Linked DNA regions of Xenopus tropicalis. The protein of the gene in region 1 purifies or fractionates together with the protein of each later gene. This does not show direct contact. Links are inferred from orthologs where the notes say so. Each region holds a gene or a part of one and is shown on either strand. Other genes may lie near its edges.

The links.
Region 2: the proteins of atxn7l3 (region 1) and taf10 purify together in Homo sapiens (affinity purification with mass spectrometry; 7 studies listed by BioGRID and IntAct, with this or other methods). This does not show direct contact. The link is inferred for Xenopus tropicalis from reciprocal best matches to the Homo sapiens genes ATXN7L3 and TAF10.

The regions. Positions count from the first base shown.
Region 1 is NC_030686.2:18,488,890-18,494,247, reverse strand, and holds the end of atxn7l3 (ataxin-7-like protein 3), read left to right. Parts: intron 1-1,036; coding exon 1,037-1,105; intron 1,106-1,614; coding exon 1,615-1,658; intron 1,659-1,783; coding exon 1,784-1,855; intron 1,856-2,248; coding exon 2,249-2,382; intron 2,383-2,661; coding exon 2,662-2,804; 3' UTR 2,805-4,365; downstream 4,366-5,358. UniProt on the Homo sapiens protein: Component of the transcription regulatory histone acetylation (HAT) complex SAGA, a multiprotein complex that activates transcription by remodeling chromatin and mediating histone acetylation and deubiquitination.
Region 2 is NC_030678.2:177,469,746-177,475,781, forward strand, and holds the start of taf10 (transcription initiation factor TFIID subunit 10), read right to left. Parts: upstream 3,430-6,036; 5' UTR 3,419-3,429; coding exon 3,250-3,418; intron 2,199-3,249; coding exon 2,047-2,198; intron 1,813-2,046; coding exon 1,748-1,812; intron 818-1,747; coding exon of another isoform or gene 785-817; coding exon 670-784; intron 294-669; coding exon 204-293; 3' UTR 1-203. UniProt on the Homo sapiens protein: The TFIID basal transcription factor complex plays a major role in the initiation of RNA polymerase II (Pol II)-dependent transcription.

The DNA.
Region 1 (5,358 bases):
CCAGATTAACATTTTTGGAATTATGGCCAAAAAGTTCCAACTTGGTTTCATCAGACCATAACACCTTTTCCCACATGTTTTTGTGAGACTTCAGATGTGTTTTTGCAAAATGTAGCCTGGCTTGGATGTTTTTCTTCGAAAGAAAAGGCTTTCATCTTGCCACTCTACCCCATAGCCCAGACACATGAAGAATACGGGAGATTGTTGTCACATGTACCACACAGCCAGTACTTGCCAGATATTCCTGCAGCTCCTTTAATGTTGCTGTAGGCCTCTTGGTAGCCTCCCTGACCAGTTTTCTTCTCGTCTTTTCATCAATTTTGGAGGGACGTCCAGTTCTTGGTAATGTCACTGTTGTGCCATATTTTCTCCACTTGATGATGACTGTCTTCACTGTGTTCCATGGTATATCTAATGCCTTGGAAATTCTTTTGTACCCTTCTCCTGACTGATATCTTTTAACAATGAGATCCCTCTGATGCTTTGGAAGCTCTCTGGGGACCATGGCTTTTGCTGTGGGATGCAACTAAAAAAAATGTCAGGAAAAACCAACTAGAGCAGCTGAACTTTATTTGGGGTTAATCATAGGCACTTTAAATGATGGCAGGTGTATGCTGACTCCTACTTAACATGATTTTGAATGTGATTGCTTAATTCTGAACACAGCTACATCCCCAGTTAGAAGAGGGTGTGCACACTTATGCAACCACATTATTTTAGTTTTTTTTGGTTTTCTTCCCTCCACCTTAAAGATTTCAGTTTGTTTTTCAATTGAGTTTATAGGTCACATTAAAGGTGGAAAAAGTTCTGAAATGATTTATCTTTGTCTCATTTTTGTACAGCACAGGAACCTGACATTTTATCAGGGGTGTGTAGACTTTTTATATCCACTGTATCTTGGGTCTCAGTCCAGACCTGGCAAAGAGACTATAAATCTGTGCCAGCACAGTTTGCAGAAAATATAAAGGTATAATGGTTCTTTGCACAAATATATGTTCCTTTCTGCACTGATACTAATGCTTCTTTCCCTTTTCAGTATAATAGCAGTTCAGGGATTAGTTATGAGAACCTCGGCCCAGATGAGCTTCAAACACTTCTAACCACGGTAAGCACCCTACAGTCACTGAACTATAAGTCAAAATACTAGAGATCCAGTCCCTTTCAATAAGTGCATGAAAATGTCATGGAACCATTGGGCAAGAGAGGGGGAGAGGGTTTTGCATATGTATTCAAAGGTACTGAAGAGCTTTGCTTTGAAAGGTTCTGTTAAGGATCGAAACGTTGGACTAATTTTGTGCAATGTGTTAGCAATAAAGCTGTGATTTTTTTATAGGGTGTGCCAGTCGTAAAATAAATTCTAGAGGGCACACTCCAAAAACATCCTACTGCCTGGGTGCCAGGTCAAGTGGTGAAGTACAAAAAAGGTAGAGAGGACTTTGAGAAATAACACAATATTTTTGTTAGTGCAATATATAATTTTATTGCAGTATTAAAAATATTGTTATTTTTCAAAGTCCTGTGAGTGCTGTGGTAGAGCTGTACATTATAATGCAATCCAGTTGTATGGCACCCACTGGGAAAGCTGTTAATTCATCCCTTTTTATTTCTCCATAGCAATGCGGGGTTATATCGGAGCACACTAAGAAGATGTGTACCAGGTCAGTCATTGTAATACTGTGCTGGTGTTCCTATGCCACTGACTTCTGCTTATTGCTCATGAACCACAAAGGCAAAACTGATTTCCTCAGTTTGTTTTTCTCATCAGTATCTGTTTTCTCTTTAGATCGCATCGTTGCCCCCAACACACAGATGACCAGCGCCGGTCTGTGAGAGTCTATTTGCTGGGCTCCTCTGCGTAAGTGCCCAACTGACCACATAACTCCATAAATCTGATAGGAGCACAGACAACAGGATGCGTAGCAGTGTCTCCCTTCCTTCTTGGTACCTCTAGGACTGTACTGGGCAGGGACATTTTCCTAGCTTTTGCAGTTACATAGGGATTTTTTATGACGGTTCTAGAGTACAATCCCCACTGGGATCACTATGACTGGACTGAATGAGGGTTCTTCATCCTTCTCCAGTTTTGCTGATTTGTTTAGCAACCGCATACTGTGACATTTTCACCTTCATAAAACTGGAGCCTGCTTGCTCCTAGCCTATACCTATAGGACTGCACAGGGCAAAAGACACACAACCTGTTTGTAAGGCTAAGCATTACAGATGGTGCTCTCCCCTGCCTCCCTACCAGCTCTCTCCCCGAGGCTGACGGCAGTACGGATAACGACAGCTTCGATGTGGTGGAGGGACAGGCACTGATGAGTCGGCTGCAGTGGGATGGATCATCTGACATTTCTCCTTCCGATTCTGCGTCCTCTAAAGCCAGTAAGAGACCCAGAGGCAGGGGGGAGGATATGTGGTAATTGTGATGCAGCAAGGTTTGCCCAATCCCCTTCTTGTGGTCAGTGTTGTAAATGAGCAATATAAGGCCAATGTCACACTGTTTCTGTTTGAATGCGCTCTCATCTTCTTGTGCCTGTTGGTTGGTTGCTTGTGCTTTCCAACTGTGAATTTTTTGTATTACTCTTGCGCTCATCTATATGCTTTTCCCTTTTTCCTCTTCCTTACTATCCTACCTATCCTCCTGTATTCCTCCCTGCCTAGGTACAAATAACTCAGACACTCGCAAGCCTAAGAAAAAGAAGCCAAGTCATGTCAGCCTGGCAAGTGGAGGTGGCACAAGCAAGAAGAAGAAACCTAAACCTCCTGCCCCTCTGACACCAGGAATGTACAGCGAACTCAATTGAACATAGTGGACCAAGGAGTGCTATACATAGTCAGACTGGGTGCCCAAATATACATGCACTGTTCTCTCGGTATATTTATATATCCCATGGAGACAAATGGGCGTAATGCCAGGTGTACCCCTAAATAAATAAACCCTTGAATGTGAATATTATCAGGTCTGGTAAGAACTATGTTAGAAAAAAAGAGGATCCAAAATATACCTCGCCCAATGCGGTTTATTCCTTTCCGCAAAACAAATACTGGACCCAATTTTGCCGTATTTACTGTCTCTTCCTGTCCCACTTGCAGTGCCTGTGCCAGGTATGGAGAGCAGTTGTGACTGTCATATATGTATACATGCATACATATATATATGATCTAATGGGAATCCTCAGGTCAGCCTGGATCTTTCTACTGTGTCAAGAGGGTGCCTGCTGCTGCTTCCTCTACTGACATTGGATCTTGCCATCTGGAGACAACTTTCCAACAGAACCGAGGCGTGAACTTCCTGAAATGGGACTCTGAGACACGAGCCACCAAGAAGTTGCAGGAACCACCTCCCCCCCCCCCCCCCCCCAGTAACATGAACATAGGCATGATGTGTGCTGCTTCTGGTATCATTTCTGTTACATAGTATATGGGTGCAGGCCGCCTGCAGTACCTCTGGCAGCAAATCGATTCATAGATCTTGCACGTTTAATGAAATTATACTCAGTATTTCATCAGGCACAGATTTACTAAATCTTACAGGATGAGGCGAGGGGGTTTTGGGGGAGGTAAATGCTAAAATGATGACATGATGTGGATCTTGCCATTTAGAATCCTGGAGACTATGGCAGCTGCCAGTTCCATTTTTTTTTTTTTATTATGTGCCTGTGATTTATTTTAGGGGGGAAAGACACTGTGGGAAAGCACCATGGACTGCAGGGTTGTCCAACCTGGACCTGTTGTTGAACTAAAATTCCCAGAATCCTTCAACAGTCAAAGGTGTTGGGGGTTTTAGGATTGGACATGCCTGATGTGGGTTTTTGTGTTTTTGTTTTTTTTACATGGCCAGAGTAATATGGTTTTAAAGCTTTTTCTTTTTTTTCTTTTTTTTTTTTTTTTTTAAAAAAAAGGGGGTCAATCTTAGTAGGAGCAAAGTGACCGATCAACTGTGCCCTTAGTTCTTTTAGTAAATGTTTAATGGGGACAAGCAGGCCTGGACACAGTATTATAACAAATGAGTTGGTGTCTGGGCAAATCCCATTGAGAAGGCTAGTGACCAAAAAAAAAAAAAAAAACCATAAAAAATTCCTATCAGATCAAAGGTTGTACTAGATAGGGCCCTTCGGAGCGGCACCCACTTTCCTCTGGTCACTTTACTCCCTAACAGGGCTGGCCCTGCAACCTCTCATTATGAACTGTATAAACTGATTTGGAAGTGATGGATGTTATGATTTGTATATCAGGGTCTTCACTAACGTGTCCTTTTCCTTCCTTAATATAGGGGAAAAAAAATTCTTTAAAAAAAAAAAAAATGCCAATGCCAATATGCATCTGTAAATTGTGTGTGGAATAAAAGCCTGTGCTGGTAAAGAGCCTGCTTGTGGTTTCCTGTGTTTCCCCCCTTAGAAGGGAAAACCCTAATGGCAGAGACACTAAGTGGCATTTCTGTGTTGTCTGTGCCAGTAGTCCTTGCTTCTTGCCATTTAGCTCACTGGATGTAAGGTAGCCATACTTGAGCCAATAAAACTGCAAACTCAGGCCTTCACTGTCTCATGTATTGTGACATTTGGCCAGATATATGCCTGCCTGATAATCATGTCAGCCAAAAATTAAATGACCACGTTGATGCAGCCCAGGTTTTCCTTGGCTCAAATTATGATCTGATCTGGCCTGGGAGCCAACCATAACAGTAATCTCAATTTGGCCCAGAGTAAGAATGGTTGGGCAACCTCACATATGCCCAGCTATATGCCCAGCTTTAGTCAGCAGTAGCACTGTAAAGGTGGCCATACATGGAAGATTGAAGCCAATTCAAGTCCTTTAGACCATTTCGACAGCTTATCTTCCCATGTATGGGCCTCCCTTATTGATATATGCCCGAAAATCGCAGGCAGGTTTGATTTTCCTGTTGGATCAGGGACAGCGTTGGCTTACTGATGCAGTCCTCAGCCCAAATTCAATCCTAGGGCCAAGAATTGAGGAAGGGTTGCATTTGGAACTGACACACTTAGGTGTGTTTAAAAAAAATGCATATAAATATAATATGCGTTTTATGCGCTCAGCATGCCTTGCCCACATGTAAGAGCCCTTAGGCAATAAATCAAACGCCACACAAAATAAGTAATGACTATTTGAAAAGTTGCTTAATTCACACGTCTCCTCCCCCCACCCATGTCTCTGCAATGATGGTGAGAATTGTATTGCCTTTAGCAAGAGATCTGTCCCAGCAGTTGTCAGAATGCACGTTTAGGGTGGCATGGGCCAAGAAGCTGGTGTTTGGATTGCCCACACCTGAATAAAAATATGAGAAGCACCCACATGGGTAGGATATTGTAGCCAGGCCAATGCCCTTGTATCAATACATGC
Region 2 (6,036 bases), on another chromosome or scaffold:
CTGGCAGTGAGTTGGGCAATGCCCCCCCGGGGGTAAATACCCAATAGAGACAGTTCAGCTCGGTGAGTGGATCATGGCTCTCCACCAATGACGTGAGCCCAATAAAGATCCTCAGGGGACCTAAAAGTCTTTTGCCCCGGGCGTAACATGGAGATCCGTGCCGCCAGTCCGTGGGATACGGGAAAGCCCGCTGGGCCGAAGCGCTAGGTGAAATAGTGCGGCTTCTTTACGTTGATGCCATATTCCGCCAGCGCCGGAGTCAGGTCTTCCATAGTGAGAGTGTATTTCTTATCCTGCCCAAAGAGAAATCACATGACTGCCTTGTGCCTCTAGAGAGGGAGAATCTCCGGCGCTGACCCAGACAGTACCAAGTATGTGCCTTGGCACCGACACAGGACTAGAGCAGGAGGGCATCATCTCGGGGTTACTGGGGTCTCTCTACCCCCACCCCCAAAATCATTATCCAATCGGCTCCCTACATACTTACCCCCCAGCCCTGACTATGGAGCAGCAATGTGAGGGCACATTCATTTCTATTGGGTGCAGCCCATACCTAGATGTGTATAGGAGATCTAGGAGCTCTCTCACTGGCTGCTTGTAACATTGGGCGGAACAAAGGGGCACCTTGGGCACAATAGCCCCACTGAAGGGCATTTGCTGGCGGGGTACCTTGCTTTTGCTGCGAGAGCTCCCGGAGGCCGTCCCCTTCATCTTACAGTGCTGCAAGGCGTCATTTGCAATGTCAGAGATGAACTTCTGAGATGCCAAGGAGATCAGCCGGATTCTAGGAGAGACAAGCGGTGGGGTCAGCGGATCACTACAGAGATCGAGAGGATCCGGTGTGAAATTCAAAATAAGCGAAGTCAATACAGATGCTGTGCTGAACTCATAGTAATCACCATACAGGCCTGATTGGATAACTGCAGTAAGACTAATGAAAGCAACTCTGATTGGTTGCTAGGGTTAAAGGAAAAGTAACACTAAACATTTTTAACTAAAAAAATCTATTCTACCCTCCCCCAATAATTGCCCTATCCTGAAATCCATTTGTTATTGTGAATGCATCAACTATGCGGTGATCGACTGATCTAGCCCCTGACTTCTGTATATAGGAATGAGTCAGGCTAGGCTCGATCAGTCGATCACCGCATAGTTGATGCATTCACAATAACAAATGGATTTCAGGATAGGGCAATTATTGGGGGAGGGCAGAATAGATTTTTTAGTTAAAAATGTTTAGTGTTACTTTTCCTTTAAGGGCCGATTCGGGTCCTTCAGACCAATTCAGCAGCTTATCTGCCCGTGTATGGGCACCCCCCGACGGGCCTACCCAACCGATATCTGCCATTGCGATGGTTTGGCCCTAGCCCGGTATTGCCCACTGTAGGTGGAGAAGATCCGCTCATTTGGCAATCTCACCAAACGAGTCTCCACCAATTACATTACAGTTCCTAGAAAGCAAGATAAACAATAATAAAGAGGGATAATACATATAACGGAATGGCAGCACCAGAACGGGCACTTTAACCCCTATTTAGGCCTCCAGTTGCTGTGGCCATAAGCGTGACTGTCAGCTCTCCTGGTAGGCACAGAGCAAACGGCTACTGGCCACGGCGGCCCATAACCTAGCGCTACAGGCTGGCCAGAATAAGGGAAGGTTCTTCCTAGTCGAGGCAACTGCTACAGGGCTCTGAGAAGCTCCGGTACCCACGGGCCAATAACGTATGGCAGCAGGAGTTGTACTTACATGCGTGGGTCGGATGCTTCAAACCCGGCCCGGTTCAGGTAATATCCAGTGACGGCATCTGGGATCTGCAGGAAATCGGGAGAAGGAATGTAAAGCAAATGTTGGAACAGATACAAGCAATGATACAGGGAAACAATATGGCAGCTCCCACCAACAGATATACATACATACAGAGAAATGATGTTCTGTAGGCACAAGCTGCACCCTGACACTGTGTAAGGTGGGGCAAATGCCTGGCACTGCCCCCCCCCAGTACCCTAGGGCACAGCATTTCCCATACAGACCCAAGGGACACTTACCGTAGGGGTATAGTCCTCCAGCTGCATCAGGAAATCCACCAGGGGGGTAGTGGAAATGACAGGTTTGACATCGCCATTTGCCACCCCCGGGGGCAGGTACACGCCATTAGAGAGGGATCCCTCGGAGGGGGCAGCAGCCGCTGATGCAGGGACTGGAGGATCAATAACAGAACATACATTGGAATTGGAAAGGACTGGGCAATAGTCACACAGCCGGGCACTTACCTGCGCCCAATTCTCCAAATACCCCCCCACCCTATCTGTCCCCAAACTGTACTCCCCATTGTACAACCCAGTGGGCACCATTTGCCCCGAAACAGGTCCATTCACCCAGCTCCTTCCATACGTTCCCCTTCTCACCCCCGGCACCACTCCTACCCCCTGCCCTAGCAAAGGGCAATTCTCAGCTATGACAGCCCCCTCCTCTCTAGCTGCCCCCCGGGACCCCTTTCATCTCCAGCTGCCCCCCGGGGCCCCCCTCTCATCTCCAGCTGCCCCCCGGGGCCCCCCTCTCATCTCCAGCTGCCCCCCGGGGCCCCCCTCTCATCTCCAGCTGCCCCCCGGGGCCCCTCTCATCTCCAGCTGCCCCCCCGGCCCCTCTCATCTCCAGCTGCCCCCCGGGGCCCCCTCTCATCTCCAGCTGCCCCCCCCCGGGCCCCTCTTTGCTCCAGCTGCCCCCCCCGGGCCCCTCTCATCTCCAGCTGCCCCCCCGGCCCCTCTCTGCTCCAGCTGCCCCCCGGGGCCCCCTCTCATCTCCAGCTGCCCCCCCCGGTGCCCCTCTCTGCTCCAGCTGCCCCCCCCGGGGCCCCTCTCTGCTCCAGCTGCCCCCCCGGGCCCCTCTCTGCTCCAGCTGCCCCCCCGGCCCCTCTCTGCTCCAGCTGCCCCCCCCGGGCCCCTCTCTGCTCCAGCTGCCCCCCCGGCCCCTCTCTGCTCCAGCTGCCCCCCCCGGCCCCTCTCTGCTCCAGCTGCCCCCCCCGGGCCCCTCTCTGCTCCAGCTGCCCCCCCGGGCCCCTCTCTGCTCCAGCTGCCCCCCCGGCCCCTCTCTGCTCCAGCTGCCCCCCCCGGGCCCCTCTCTGCTCCAGCTGCCCCCCCGGCTCTCCCTTTCCCCTCCATGCTTGGGTTTCTCTCCCCAGGCCTTTCCTGGAGTCCCAGTCCCCTGTGAGTACCCCCCCCTCCCTCTCCGGTTCAGTTGCTGCCGCTCACCGCTGGCTCTTCGCTCCCCCGTGTCCCTCCCGGGTAGAGCAGCTGCAGAGGCCGCGGCAGGCCCGGGTTTGGGAATGTTTGCCGGGCTGGGCTTACTCTCTGGGGCCGGACCGGGCTGGACTGAGGCAATAGCAGATAGAGAGTCTGGCGCTGTCTCCGTCCCGCTCATCTTCACCCTTGGACAGGAACTTCCGTCAACACCCGGAAACAGCTCCTCCACTTAATCTCCTCCCCAAAACAACGGGCAGTGCCTTTACGCCATCTTCCTGCAAGGCGTGTCCCAGCGCCCCCTACCGGCCAATGCGGCAGCTACACAGCTCAGGAGAAACATAACCTTACGTAGAAAGCCCATTGGCTACCTGCCAGGGCGCGGCCATTTACTGGCTTAAAATGTTGCCAATCAAAGCGGTGATAGCAAAGCTGCGTTAGGATTTGAACAAAGCCAGACTGTGATTGGATGTCGCTTGGTTACGTGCTGAGGCACGCTAGAGTGCCGCCATGTTGCTACACACGGAAATGAGCTTAGCGAAGTGCATGGGAGTCAGACTGACAGTGAGGCGCGACACCAACTCCTTCTTCTGAGCGTGAAAAGCGCCACAGGCAACCAAACCGGGGCTGTTAGGAGCCGGCGGGCTGGACTTTACCCTGGGGCAGGGGCTGCTTGAGGCCAGTATTTGGGTGTAGCAATATGGCGGAGTTCGCAGACCGAAAACGGACTGGGAAACCACAAGAGTGAAAACCGGATCCAAATTGCTCCGACATTGATTCACTGAGCAAGTGGGTGAGTGTCCGCCTCCCGGGAGCTGGGACTTTCTTTTTATTGATCCACCCCCCCCCCCCCCGCCTCCACTCAGGCAGCCATTATGGGGGTCTCTTTACACTCACTGTCAGTAACTAACCCACTCACTGTCAGTAACTAACCCACTCACTGTCAGTAACTAACCCACTCACTGTCAGTAACTAACCCACTCACTGTCAGTAACTAACCCACTCACTGTCAGTAACTAACCCACTCACTGTCAGTAACTAACCCACTCACTGTCAGTAACTAACCCACTCGCCGTCAGTAACTAACCCACTCACTGTCAGTAACTAACCCACTCACTGTCAGTAACTAATACACTCGCCGTCAGTAACTAACCCACTCACTGTCAGTAACTAACCCACTCACTGTCAGTAACTAACCCACTCACTGTCAGTAACTAACCCACTCACTGTCAGTAACTAACCCACTCACTGTCAGTAACTAACCCACTCGCCGTCAGTAACTAACCCACTCACTGTCAGTAACTAACCCACTCACTGTCAGTAACTAATACACTCGCCGTCAGTAACTAATACACTCGCCGTCAGTAACTATACACTCGCCGTCAGTAACTAACACACTCGCCGTCAGTAACTAACACACTCGCCGTCAGTAACTATACACTCGCCGTCAGTAACTAACACACTCGCCGTCAGTAACTAATACACTCGCCGTCAGTAACTAATACACTCGCCGTCAGTAACTAATACACTCGCCGTCAGTAACTAACACACTCGCCGTCAGTAACTATAACACTCGCCGTCAGTAACTAACACACTCGCCGTCAGTAACTAACGACACTCGCCGTCAGTAACTATACACTCGCCGTCAGTAACTAACACACTCGCCGTCAGTAACTAATACACTCGCCGTCAGTAACTAATACACTCGCCGTCAGTAACTAACACACTCGCCGTCAGTAACTAAGACACTCGCCGTCAGTAACTAAGACACTCGCCGTCAGTAACTAACACACTCGCCGTGAGTAACTAATACACTCGCCGTCAGTAACTAACACTCGCCCTAACACTCGCCGTCAGTAACTAACACACTCGCCCTAACACACTCGCCGTCAGTAACTAACACACTCGCCGTCAGTAACTAACACACTCGCCGTCAGTAACTAACACACTCGCCGTCAGTAACTAACACACTCGCCCTAACACACTCGCCGTCAGTAACTAACACACTCGCCCTAACACACTCGCCGTCAGTAACTAACACACTCGCCGTCAGTAACTAACACACTCGCCGTCAGTAACTAACACACTCCTGTGCCCTGATGTATTGTGTGTAGGGGCAGTGGAGTAAGGGGTCTCTGCCCCCAGTGACATTTCTATATATACTCAGTGGGGGATCTACACTTACACCCCCCCCTTAGGGCTCTGGCACACGCGAGGCAACAAAGTTGCCTGCGCAGCGTGTGCCATCCCACTGGTGACTTACATTTTTGCCAGTGGGATGGCAGTTCGGGGAGATTAGTCACCTGTGATAAGGGAGATTTGTTTCGGGCGACTAATCTCCCTGTGTGCCAGAGCCCTTACCCCAAGGGATTCCTGACTGTGGCCCCATACAGGCACTGACTATACAGGTCCCAGAGCGGATCCCCCTGTCTGGTGCTCAGTCGTCTGCCCCCCCCCTGGCTCCCCCCGTTGCACCCCCTGTCTGCGCCCCCGTCTCCCCCCCTGCTTGCTCCCCCCCTGTCTGTCCCCTTCTCATCCCTCCCCTGTCTGCTCCCCCCCCTGTCTTGCTGCTCCCCCCTGTCTGCCTCCTGCACCGCCCCTTTCGTGTCTTGCTCCTCCCCCTGTTCTTGGCTGTTTCTATCGCTCCCCCCCTAGTCTGCCCAATCATGCCCCCTGTCGCGCAACCCCTGAATCCCACTCCCATTTTGAGTATTTTCCACAACCCCATTACACCGCAACCAAGCCCTGACTATTCTTACCCCGAGAGTTCCGCATTTAAGCGCCACTACAATGTTTTGC